3 linked regions of the Arabidopsis thaliana genome follow. The protein of the gene in region 2 interacts with the protein of the main gene of each other region in a pairwise test. Each region holds a gene or a part of one and is shown on either strand. Other genes may lie near its edges. The genes, in order: BZIP34, bZIP43 and BZIP61.

Region 1 (4,550 bases), on a different chromosome or scaffold from region 2:
AACACATCACGTGAATAAGCTTAAGCCTTTCAAGATGTGTCCACACGCGTTTCTCTTTTCTCTTCTTTCATTTTCACTGCATAAGCTTTTTCTTATCGACCACAATATACTTAAACGGCTATTATTCATGGTAACTCCTAAACATAAACGATCACAAAAGTTACCAAATATCAGTGATTATTAAAAATCCCAGAGTTTTGGTCTGCTATTACTTATTTCTTTATTTTTAGACCACAGTACATTTTTGTATACTTTCTTCATTTGTCTTTTTCTTACGTGAGTGGATGTACCATATGATTTTACCATCTAGATTCTGTATGACGTCAACATATTGTTGTTTTATTACCTAAAATAGTTCAATGTCGTTAAATGACATTTTCCTATGTTGATACTACTATTTTTAAAAACCGTTGAGACAGAAAAAGGGTGTAAACAGGCGTTTAATAGCTATAGATTACTTTTAGCCGTTCAAAACAATTATTTTTGTTGATACTCTAGATCACTTTAGAATAGAAATAATCAGAGATAGAGACTATTTTTTTAGTGAATTAACCATAGTTCTTGTTTAATCTGTCTTATTAAAATCAATATAATGTTATGCGAGAAGAAATATGATTTAGAGTAGACAATGATGGAAAATAAACTACTGTATTCCGAATAAATCTTAATTAGTTCACAAATCTCTGTACACTTCCCAAAAAAAAAAAAAAAAAATTCAACTAGTTCTTTGTACAAACAACAATTGATGATTCCCTTCCATCAACCCCAAGAAAAAAAGACGACATAAACAAAATAAATAAGATACATCAAACTGAATTCATCACAACTTAAAAACAATGTGATTAGAATAAAAAATGTATATCTCCTGAATTTCTTACCCGAAAGAGATTTTATAGTCAAGAACTTTTGCCAAGAAGCTAAAAGAGAGAAATGTTGATGATGATGCATGATGGTTAATTTATGAGACATTGAGGAGCTGCTCTGTTTCAACGGACGACTTGATGTCGACGGCCGGAGTAGCACCGGCTCCGGTCGCCGATAAATGATTTGCATTTTCCACATTCGTGAGGCTTTGTTGATTATACACTTGTCGAAGTCTCTCTATTTCTCTCTTCAATGCTTCTTGATGTGCTGCAAAATAATATTAGTTTTTTGATGTTATATTAGCTAGTGAGAGAAAATTATTGGGCGTGCTCATATATTGTCAGTGATAATTGAATGCATCGACGAGAAAATGAAAAATCTCATAAACACACATATATTAATTCCATAATTATCCAAAAAATTTACATGAGAATTAAATCCAAAAGTTACATGAGATTAATACCGTCTTTGAAAAGCTTGTCTTGAGATAAAGCAGCGATTCGTTGCTTGAGAGCGCTGTTGTCAACGTTAAGAAGCAAACGTTGATGATCCAAGAATGCAACTCTTGGCGATAACACTGACACTTCCGCCTTTAATTTCAGTTTTTTTGCCACAAAAATGATTTAAGGTCATAATAAATTTATAATCATGAAATTATTTGAATAATTAAAAGATTATGATTTATGAATGTTTGTATAATGTACCTGCAACGAAGTGACGCTACGTTCGAGCTCTGATATGTATTGCAGTTTCCTCACCCTTGATCTCTGTGCTGATTGCCGATTTGCTAATATTCTGTAGAAACATTCAGAAATATTTATTTTATTTTTGTTAACAATTTAAAAAACATTATATGGTTAGTGATGTGACGCTAATCTTCAGTAATCATATTTTTCAAAATATTTGGTGCATCGTAATCAAATCTGATGAGTTGATATTTTTACGTGCATGCATGTTCTTGAATAATTTTGTTACCTCTTAACCCTTTTGGGATCGAGAATCCGGTTGCCGGAGCTATCACCGGAATTGTTATTCGACGCCGTACCATCTTCTGGCTCCATCTTGCATTGGCTTTGGACTTCATCGTTATAGTTGTTGTTGATATTATTGTTCATGTTATGATCGGACGGTGGTAATTCTTTGTTATCGTCGTTGAAGCTATTGGACGGCGTGGATGTGTTCGAGGAAGATCCCGTGGGCCCCACATTGTTATTTTTGTTGTTGATATGGGAAGGATTGCTATGAAGGTTGTCGTCGTCGGTGAACATCGACATGAACTGTTCGTCATCGAACCTGTCGAATTGGTGGTCTTCGATGCTGACTGTTGGAGCTTCGAGGAATGCGATAGAGTCGCTGATGGAACGACGGTGGTTGCCACGGCGAGACGCTGAGAAGTCGAGGAATTCGTCGACCCATGAGGGGTTTTGTACGGTGGTTGTAGCGGTGGCGACAGCGGTTGCGGTTGGGGTAGAGAAAGGAGAGAGCTTTTGGGAAGAGAAATCAGGCCAATGTTGTGTCATGTTGGGGATTTTAGGAGGGAGTTGTGCCATTGAAGAAAAAATAGATGGATCTTGATCCAAAAGATTACCAAAGAAAGCAAATCTGAATTTACAGGATTGAGGAAGGAAAAAAAAAAAACCTTAATTAATAAGTACAAGATAAACTAACGTAAATCCAATTCAGAAAACCAAAAACCTAGATGAAAAAACAAAGGAAAGAAACGAAATGTGGAGACAAATGGGAAGTGGAATTAGATCAATGTCATGAACCATATGAAGAAGATAGAGAAAAGAAAAAAGGAAGGAGAGGAAGAAAGAAGAAAACGGAACAAGAGTAACCAAAATGGCTATGTTTAACAAATGATAGTTATATAAATAGAAGGAAGTAAAAAAACAGAATTAATGAAGGAGATAAATAGAGATATATATATATATACATGAGATATATATTATGTAAAATCTTATGAAAGAACATAATAAATTCGATGTGATCAAAGTGTTTAATTTATCTCTCTGAGTAGGGCCACATGGAGGGAGATATTGAGATCGGACAGCTATGAAACAGCTGTCTTGAGAAGTGAGGCTAAAGGTCTCAACGGTATAACTGGAAATTCTCCTCCACTGGTTTTTTTCTTTTTAATCTATGTAAAGAGATTTGGAGGAGGAATCAAGCAAGCACGTGTTCTTGTGACCTTTCTTTTGTTGAATGGTTAATACGTTTCTTTCTTATGAATGGTTTTTCGATAGGTTCATGTAAATGCAATATCTCGTATTTGTTGCAAATCATATGTGTCAATTAATAATTTTGGTACATGTAAACCTACGTCAAGCAAGTACAATGAATACATGAGTTAATAGCACACAGTATCATCTATATATAGAATAATAGAATTAAGTCGAGTTGATAAACATGACTTAATTTATTGGAAAACAAATCCGACGACTTAGCTTATTTATCACATATCTTTCACCATGGTAATGGATTATCTTGTTACCATCACTGCTATGAGGAGGGCTAAACAATGCATGGAGAAAGTAGGGTAGTGGACGAGTGGAGAGAGAGTGAAGAGTATAATGTTGATGTGTGAGTCCATGTGATTTGTTTTCTGTACTCTTTTTTTCCCCTCTATATTTGCTTTGTCCCAGACCACACCCACATGTAGGACACTTGCTACTTTTTTTTTCTCTCTTAAATCGTATAATTTTGGATATTTTGTCTGTCCAATTTTTTACTTTTCCGGATCGATAGGAATATTTAACGGAATCTATATTTTTTTGTTTTGTTGAAATGTTAAAATTATAAATCAAACTTGAGAAAGTTATATGTACATGTATTTACGGAATATATAGTCAGTGAATTATTTCTCTAAATGTGTGTCGGACAGTAATCTCATAGAAATATTTTCATGATTATCAAAACCAAACGATTTTGTTTTAAAGGAGGAAATCACACATCATCTGTTATGTCATTTCCAAATAATTCCTTCAAGATCATCATCCCTAATATAACCATTAGCATCTTCAGTTTACAAATATCTTAGCGACCAACCTCTAGCTAAACTCCATGAGCTACTCAAGTTTTTCTTTTACCTCTAAGTCTGTCCTTAACAGTGTGAAGAAGTTCCATCGCCTTGTCTAGTACATAAGCTTTAAGTTTCACCTTTCGACCTAACAGTGTGAAGAAGTTCTTTTACCTTCAAGTTGCACTGGGGACTTGATTCATACAACATACGTTGACATCAGGCTACCATTGCTAGTTCTTGTTTCGAGAGAGAAGCGGCCTATTTACGATTCAATACACATCCATGGAGGTAATATATTACAGCTAAATTTGAAGCTTTATGACAGAATCATGCATTTGCTCTGTATGTGTTTACCTGTGACACTCTTTGTGTTAAGGCTTGGCATATTGCTGTTTATGTTTTAGTAGAATGAAAATTCTTACAGAATCTGCACTGGCGAAATCTTGGTCTGCTTCACTCGTTAGAGGTGACCTTAAACTAAACTATGTGACTAGTTTTCCGTTGAGAAGTGAAGAAAGCAGCTGTCGAAGTGCAACTCAAGAAAATGGAGGTAAAATAAACTTAGCAATAGAGAGCTGATACTGTTTCAATGTGATTGAGAACAATGAGAAGTGAAGTGTTTGTGAATTTGTTTCACTGCAGGAGGAACTAGAGAAGAAGAAAG
Region 2 (3,320 bases):
CTTGATGGAAAAGACTTCTCTAATTTTCATAGAGAATTTATAAACTACAAGGGTAAATTAGGTGTGACTAAATTGGAGTGTGATGCTGGTGATGGACATCCCCGTGAGTTGTGTGTGTGGGTTCTAGAGGATGTTGAGAAACAGGAATGGTCACAGTATATCTACTCCTTGCCGAAGATTAAGGTCAATCGGATTAGAAACGACAATATTTTCGCAATGTTTTTGCCTTTGACTATATAGAGGATCTTAGTATTGACGATTCGAAGCAACTCAAGTCAAAACCACAACAACGTCGACATGTAAAGAACAAGCAGGCAATCCTCCTGCAGAACAAGTACGATTTACTAGGTAACTCAGAGTGAGGATCTTATCTTGAAAGCCAAGCCAACGAGTCAAGCTATTTTGGTTAAGAGTGTTACTTGTCATTTACAGGTTACTTACGTGTGAGCTTTATCACCCTGTTGGCGTAGAGTGAGAGCAAACTAATATTTTTTTGTATGGTTATCAAAAGGCCTATGAGGTTTTACCTAGGTGAAGAGGGCTCTCTATATCCAATAACTTGATTGTTAAGAAACCGATGTGGTCAATGATTGAATAGTTGAATTGTCAGAATTGATGTTAAAACAAGAAAGTCATGTGATATGAATACCACTGTAGATTGATTAGAGATTTGTAGTTCATTTTCTGTTGAGATCTTATGAACAAAGATTTATGCTTTATTAAAACTAAACGAACACATCAAATATGCAAAAGAATTGGACACTTAGCTTCTTAAATTTGTTTTCTCTCAACCTTTTCAAGGTCTCATTCATAGGTCTGTTTATGCTTCTTCTGTTCTTCTTGATGAGATGCTTTCCTCTAGTACTAATTAAGTCCATCACGTAATATTTTTTTTTTTTTCTAACAACACTAAAAAAAAATTAAAGATAATATAAATTTGGATGGTTATAAAAGCCCATATGTTTCTTGGGTTTCAAAAGGTTAAATTTCAAAATCACCACCCTTCCCCTAACAGAATCTAATTACATAGGTCGAACTTTTAGCAAAATACGACGAAAATGAAGAATTACGCATGATTGCTATATGTGTCAATCCGACACTTCTATAAAATATTATATGCTTTAATTACTTTTTTCTAAATGTGTAATTTTACATGTATATATATTAAACCAAGCTTAATATAATAAAATATTTAAAAGATTTTAGATAGAAGTCATTTTCAAAAAGTGGTGGTACGGTATTAGAAAATGGACATTTTGAAATTTCTCCAAACGTTTACTATTTAAGATGAATAAATTATTAAAAAATGATTTAATTCATTCAACTCAAAATTGAAAAAAATTGACCAAATTATAAAAGTAGTTTGTTCAATTTATTTATCTACTATTTTGCAGAAAAATAAGTTGAAAGTTATTTTAAATTTCCAAAAAAAAAAACACAAATTTGTTTCCTAGCCATTGAGAGAAAGAAAAATCTCAATTATTCCCAGTCATTCATTTACACACAACCATTTTCCACCCCAAAAATTCAACCAAGTTCTCATAAATTTTAGATAGGTTTTAAAAAATAAGTTGAAAGATATTTGAAATTTCCACACAACAAAAAAAAAACAATTTGTTTCCTAGCCATTGAAAGAAAAGAAAAACTCAATTAATCCCAATCATTCATTTACAAAGCCATTTTTCACCCTAAGACTTCAACCAACTTCTAATAAATCTTAGACAGGCTTTAAAAAATAAGTTATTTAGATTTCGTTCTAAGTAGTTCAATAATTTTATAGGTGAAAAAATAGATCGTGTTTTTAAATAATAAATAAAGTTATATAAATACACGTTTTAGCTGCATGATTGTTAGATGCTTTTATATTGGTTTGACCCAAATGAAGAAACCATGGTCCACAATTGTCCCCCTACTAGTCTATATGAACACCTCTTCTCACCACACACACCAAACATTCATCACAATTCCCTAAATCCTACAATCTTTCTTTTCTTCCATCACCTAAGAGTAAACCCTACCTTGCGTCCCAAGTCTCCACCGATAATGCAACCATCCACCAACATTTTTAGCCTCCATGGTTGTCCACCTTCGTACCTTTCCCATATTCCTACATCCTCACCATTTTGCGGACAAAACCCTAATCCATTCTTCAGCTTCGAAACTGGCGTGAACACTTCACAGTTCATGAGTTTGATCAGCAGCAACAACTCGACCTCAGATGAAGCAGAAGAGAATCATAAGGAGATAATAAATGAGAGGAAGCAAAAGAGGAAGATATCTAACAGAGAATCGGCAAGAAGATCGCGTATGAGGAAGCAGAGACAAGTGGATGAGCTTTGGTCACAGGTGATGTGGCTTAGGGATGAGAATCATCAGCTGCTTCGTAAGCTTAACTGCGTTTTAGAGTCTCAAGAGAAGGTTATTGAAGAGAATGTTCAGCTCAAAGAGGAAACCACTGAGCTTAAGCAAATGATTAGTGATATGCAGCTTCAGAATCAGAGTCCTTTCTCTTGCATCAGAGACGACGACGACGTTGTATAGATGATTTTTATTTTTATTTTTTTGGGGCTCTAGTATGTATCAACAAATGTATATCCAGAGATCTGTCTCAGCTTAAGATTTAATTAAGACTCTAAATTAGTAATTGTTAAAGCAGAGTTCTTCAAACTTGTGTTGCCCGTGAATAGAAGTAAGAAATTGTTTCACAATTGTTTGCATAACAAACGATAAAAATTCACATTGCTGAAGTATAATTTTAAAAAAAATTACATGCATAAATATTTTTGCAAAATGTAAATACAAGCATCAATTACTAACAGTAGACTTTCTTCTTTTTCTCTTTAAAATTTTACGTTTATAATGACCAATTTTGTTCTTTCTAAATTGGCTTAAGTAGTGTCTTTGAAAAAAATATACACCAGCCGTAAACGGTTTATTTTCTTCCATTTCCATTTGCATTTTTATGTTGAAAAATTATTAAGAAAAGAATTAAGATTGTGATTAAAATAATAAGAATATGAAAAGCAAATACGTAAATCTAACGCAAACAAAAACAATTAAGACCTTACATGGTTGTGTACTTGTGTGTGAAACTCTCGTAAATCTAATTATGTCAAGCAAAGAAGAGCTTTTATCTGTAGTATTTTAGTACCTTGTATTTTATTTTATTTTAGTACCTTGTATTGGTAGTGCATGGACTGAGGTTTTGCAAGATTTGGCTTAGAAAGCAGTTAATGCTATTTTTTAAAAACCTAAATTACACTATTGATTATTGGTAAATCTGTTCAGCGGCATAAGTAAACCTATAACTTGGATAAAAT
Region 3 (4,918 bases), on a different chromosome or scaffold from region 2:
GGTTTGATTCATAAGAAAATAAAACTCACTAATCTTGTTTTCTTTGTCTGTAATTATACAATGTATGACATTCGTGATGTGTTTGTATTCGTTGATATATGTATATATTGATATATCATCTAGATTCTATATGACATCATCTAAATGTCCAGGCCCTACGTAAGGAAGTGGCTACATTAGCTAGTAATACCTTACATTTTCACTTGATTTTTTCGAAGGACAAAAAATGAAAAAAACCTGAGGTTAAAATATTATTAAATCATCATAATTAATTGATTTTTTCTTAACAATGAAATAATCGTACGAGTTTTTAAGGAATGAGAAATCGCTTTCAGTCACTTCAAATATAAATTTTGAAACTATGTGTTAACATTTCATGGTTCACAAATCCTGTTCTTTTTGTCACTAGAAGTTAAACAAGTATATAAATTGTTATATTTGTTTATTATATGGATGATGGCACACATCAAAATTTGAACCATGTGAAAAGAGGGAATCTTTAACTATTCGATTACCCTAAATTTGATGGAAAAAAAAATCATTCGGAAAAAATATCAATTAGTACACAATGCATAGACACTCCAACAAAAAAATTGAATAAACAACAAATCAGCTAAGTTCTTTTTACATATCATTCCCACTTTCCCCCTCCCACTCCATAAGAAAAAAAAAAAAAAACAGATACATCAAAAGCAAATTCATCACAACTTAAAAAAATGTGATTAGATCAAATAAAAAAGGCCATCTTCTTTGATAAATTAATTTCTTGACACAAAGAGGTTTTATAGTCAAGAATCTTTTCGCCATGAAAAGAAAGATCTTAGTGAACGAACAGCTTTAGACATTGAGGAGCTGTTCCTTCTCAACGGACGGTTTGATATCGGCCGGAGATTGATCGGAGACATTATTCTCCATCTTCTTGAGGCTTTGTTGATGATATACTTGTCGAAGTCTCTCTATTTCTCTCTTCAATGCTTCTTGATGAGCTGAAAATATTAAAATTTACAATTATCAGTGTTGTCAATAAACCTAAATATTCAATGAGTACTCACATGTTTCATGTTAACATAAATATCTATACTTATCTCATATATATGTTCACACATGGACAGTTGTTCTAACTTATTAATCATACTAAACTCTATTGATCTTGTGATTCATTATTACTAGCTAGATCCATGTTATAAAATAATTAGCTATAGATATATATAAACCTTACTAAATCTATTCAAGCAGGACAATATATATTTCATGTTTGTAATTTTATGAATCATGAAGCATGCATTGCCGCAAGTACTTCCTTGTATATAGTTTATATTACTAAAGAATAATTATTGGTCGAGCCTATATATTGTCAGTGACTATTAAATACATGGAGCTAGTGAAACTTCAGACAATAATAGTAAAAAAAAACAAACAAATTTCTATAGTTTGATAGTATCCCTGAAAAATATATTCAGAAGAATTTTATACAATGTTAGAAAATTGAAAAAAAGTTCAAAATAGAAAATTACCGTCTTTGAAAATCTTATCTTGTGCTAAAGCTGCGATTCGTTGCTTGATAGCACTATTGTCGACGTTGAGAAGCAATCGCTGATGATCCAAAAACGCAACTCTTGGCGATAACACTGACACTTCAGTCTTCATTCCACAATTTTAAATGATTTGTTGATCAGTATTTAAACTTTTTATTTAGATTGTTTTACATTAATAAACATAGTATATCTTTGTGTGTAAATTAATTACCTGCAATGAAGTAACGCTCCTTTCAAGCTCTGATATGTATTGCAATTTCCTCACCCTTGATCTCTGTGCTGATTGCCTATTTGCTAAAATTCTGTAGAAAATTTCAGCAAAAACAAAAATTAGATTTTATCGATGTGACACTAATTTAACTATTTTATAAAAACGGTGTATCGAATTATCAGATACTATTATAAACTGTACGTGCATGCATGACCTTCCTTGGGGTTTTGGGAAATAGTAAATAAAAATGTTAATTACCTTTTTACCCTTTTAGGGTCGTGAATACGATTACCGGAGCTTCCACCGGAGTTTTGATTCGCCGACGGACCATCTTGTGGCTCCGTCTTGCACTGGCTTTGGACCTCGTCTGATTCGTTGTAATTGTTACCGGCGGCGTTGTTTTGATTGGCTACATTATTGTCCATGTGATGATCATGATCGGACGGTGGTGCTTCTTTGTTGTTGTCGTCGTCGCTAAGGCTATTATGATCGGACGGCGTGGAGGTGTTGGAGGATGAACGCGTGGGACCCACATTGCCGTTGATGCTGTGATGATGATGATGATTGTGGTTATTGTTGTGTACGTCGTCGTTGAACATGGACATGAATTGCTCGTCGTCAAACCTATCGAAGTGGTGGTTTCCGACGCCGGAGGAAGGTGGTTCAAGGAAAGCAATGGAGTCGCTTATAGAACGACGGTGAGTCCCACGGCGAGTCGCTGAGAAGTCGAGAAACTCATCCATCCATGAAGGGTTTTGTTGTTGAGGTCCAGCGGTTGCTGCGGCTGCCGCCGTTGCGGCTATGGAAGGGAGTTTCTGGGAGGAGAAGTCAGGCCAATTTGGCGTCGTCATGGTTGGGATTTTCGGAGGAAGTTGTGCCATTAATAAAGATTTAATGGCACACCAGATTTTTTTGTAAGAGGTCAAATGAAAAACAAAGGAAAGGATCAAAGATTTGAGAGAAACAACAAAAAATTCAAGTGAGGATCAAGAGAGAAATTGAAAGTTTTAGATGATCAAAATGCTAAAACAGATTAAGAACCATTAGAGAAAGAGAGAGAGAATGGGATGAGAAACAAACCAGAGTAACTAAAATGGCTATGTATAACAAAGAGTAGTTATACAAAACAGAAGTAAGAGATAGAAAGAGAGAGGGATGCATGAGATAAGATAATTTTTATAATAGAATAAAGCGAAATAAAATTATATAAATGGATTCGATCTCAAAGGGTTTATATCTCTGAGTGGGGTCACATGGGGGGCGAGAGAGATCGGACAGCTATGAAACAGCTGTTTCGGAAGAAAAATTAAAAAGATTTGAGGTCTCTCTTAAGAGCAAATGGAGAATCAGGCAGCACGTGCTCTTAGTGAACCCCTCTCCCTTAATTTTGTTTTGCTAAACTTATTTTATTAGAGAGACTTTTTCTTTTCAAAACAGTGTATGATATTATTTATCCTTTGGAAACATTCTTATGTTTTGCTCTTCCACATGCTCCCGCCTTTCTCTCCTCCTTTCTCCGCCGTTTGATCATTTCCCCCGCCTTGTTTTCTGGCCGTCCGGCGAGCTGACACTTGGGCAGATGCTACCGGATGCCCTCTCGTATTTCCTCTTTTTAAATTATATGGAAATCATATGAATGTTATGTATATATACCACTAATCGATTCAAGAAACACTTGTAATTAAGTCTAGTTTCTAACTTTTTAAGATTTAACCTATATAAGCTTTATCGAAACATTCAACTTCTTATGGAGGTGAGCAAATGTTTTGGTTAAAATGTTATCATTTGAGTCATTGTCTAGCAGACACAACTTTTTTACTCTTGTTTAACTAGTTTAACGCATGCAGGATTACTATACATGTAAATGCAAAGATCATCATACGTAAGTTTAGGAGTCAGTGTGTATGGACATTAATGAGTAGATAGCATAAGAGTGGCCACTTTATCAAATGACAAAGAAAGAATAGTCCAATACAATTAATACACTTCTCTTTCTGTCCTTCACATGTACAATTAAGCTTATAGAGAAGCCATGTCTATACATATATACATAAATTAGCTCCCTAGCTCTATATATATACTATAAACAATTAAAGAACAAGAAAATCAATCATCAGTTGTAACATATACATAGGAATTTATGACAATGCAATGCTAATATAAGGGAAAAAAAGGCAAAAAGCATTATAAAATGCAAGGGAAAGAGAAGAATGAATTGAGTGGGAGGCTGAGAGTAGTGGAAGAGTGGAGAGATAGAGAGAAATGAGCTGTTAGAAAGAAAAGGAGAAGTGAAGAAGGAACCATGTTCATGTGTCAGAACATGTGCTTTGTTTTTATTTTTTTGTATAATATTTTGTGACTTGTGAGACCTTTCCCTCTCTATATTTTCTTTGTCCCCAAACCAAAGCTTCATGTAGGCCAATCCATTTGATTCATTGTTTTTATAACAGAAGATCATTTATTGGATTAAATTCACTTTGTATATCCATAAAAATATATAGAAATCTCACAAATACAAACTTTTCAAAAATAGATTAATGAGATGACAAAATAAAAAATATGTAAGACAAGTTTGGTTTGATTAAGAATATTTTTGCTATTATGTATATATGTTAAAATACAAGTAGTTACGTTAAAACAAAATTGTATGCATATATATATTAGAACGTATGAAATTATTTCTTAGTTTATGTTCCAACTGTGAACTGTCTATTGTTTCACTATTTATTTAAAATATACAATTCAATTTAATACAATATTTACTACAAACAATCCAAACATCAATGGTGGTCCTCTAACAAAGTACTCTAAGAATATTCTCTTTAATTTTCTACATAAGACCAATCTTCGAAATTTCTACAACAAGCCCGGCAAAAACAAATAAAAAAGCTACAAGTTTAAGGGATTCAACGAGAACTTATAGAAACTGAAATAACAGTTTAATCAATTAGTATTGGACGGCTTTGGTACAACGAAAATAAAACTACTAAAATAAATATAGTTATCAATTAGTTGCAAAGTGTAGTATATAACCATATGGTTAGTTAAAGAGAGATATTTTAGTGTGGTATCAAATATTTCAGTTCAAATTAAAAGGTGAAAATGGAAAGCCAAAAAAAGCTAATAACTGAGCCATATAGAGAAATAGAATTGTTATTTTTGTTAGTCAAGT

The links.
Region 1: the proteins of bZIP43 (region 2) and BZIP34 interact in a two-hybrid assay, tested with the Arabidopsis thaliana proteins (one study listed by BioGRID).
Region 3: the proteins of bZIP43 (region 2) and BZIP61 interact in a two-hybrid assay, tested with the Arabidopsis thaliana proteins (one study listed by BioGRID).

The regions. Positions count from the first base shown.
Region 1 is NC_003071.7:17,646,247-17,650,796, forward strand, and holds BZIP34 (Basic-leucine zipper (bZIP) transcription factor family protein), read right to left. Parts: upstream 2,817-4,550; 5' UTR 2,415-2,816; coding exon 1,840-2,414; intron 1,660-1,839; coding exon 1,569-1,659; coding exon of another isoform or gene 1,539-1,568; exon of another isoform or gene 1,455-1,538; coding exon 1,328-1,454; coding exon of another isoform or gene 1,311-1,327; exon of another isoform or gene 1,132-1,310; coding exon 959-1,131; 3' UTR 639-958; downstream 1-638. UniProt on the Arabidopsis thaliana protein: Transcriptional activator involved in the sporophytic control of cell wall patterning and gametophytic control of pollen development. May play a role in the control of metabolic pathways regulating cellular transport and lipid metabolism.
Region 2 is NC_003076.8:15,537,526-15,540,845, reverse strand, and holds bZIP43 (basic leucine-zipper 43), read left to right. Parts: upstream 1-1,956; 5' UTR 1,957-2,043; coding exon 2,044-2,541; 3' UTR 2,542-2,705; downstream 2,706-3,320. Other genes in the region: AT5G38810 (F-box and associated interaction domains-containing protein), read left to right, coding at 1-240. UniProt on the Arabidopsis thaliana protein: Probable transcription factor involved in somatic embryogenesis. Acts as a positive regulator of BHLH109.
Region 3 is NC_003074.8:21,520,452-21,525,369, forward strand, and holds BZIP61 (Basic-leucine zipper (bZIP) transcription factor family protein), read right to left. Parts: upstream 3,068-4,918; 5' UTR 2,628-3,067; coding exon 2,005-2,627; intron 1,838-2,004; coding exon 1,747-1,837; intron 1,642-1,746; coding exon 1,515-1,641; coding exon of another isoform or gene 1,498-1,514; exon of another isoform or gene 1,215-1,497; intron 987-1,214; coding exon 838-986; 3' UTR 523-837; downstream 1-522. UniProt on the Arabidopsis thaliana protein: Transcriptional activator.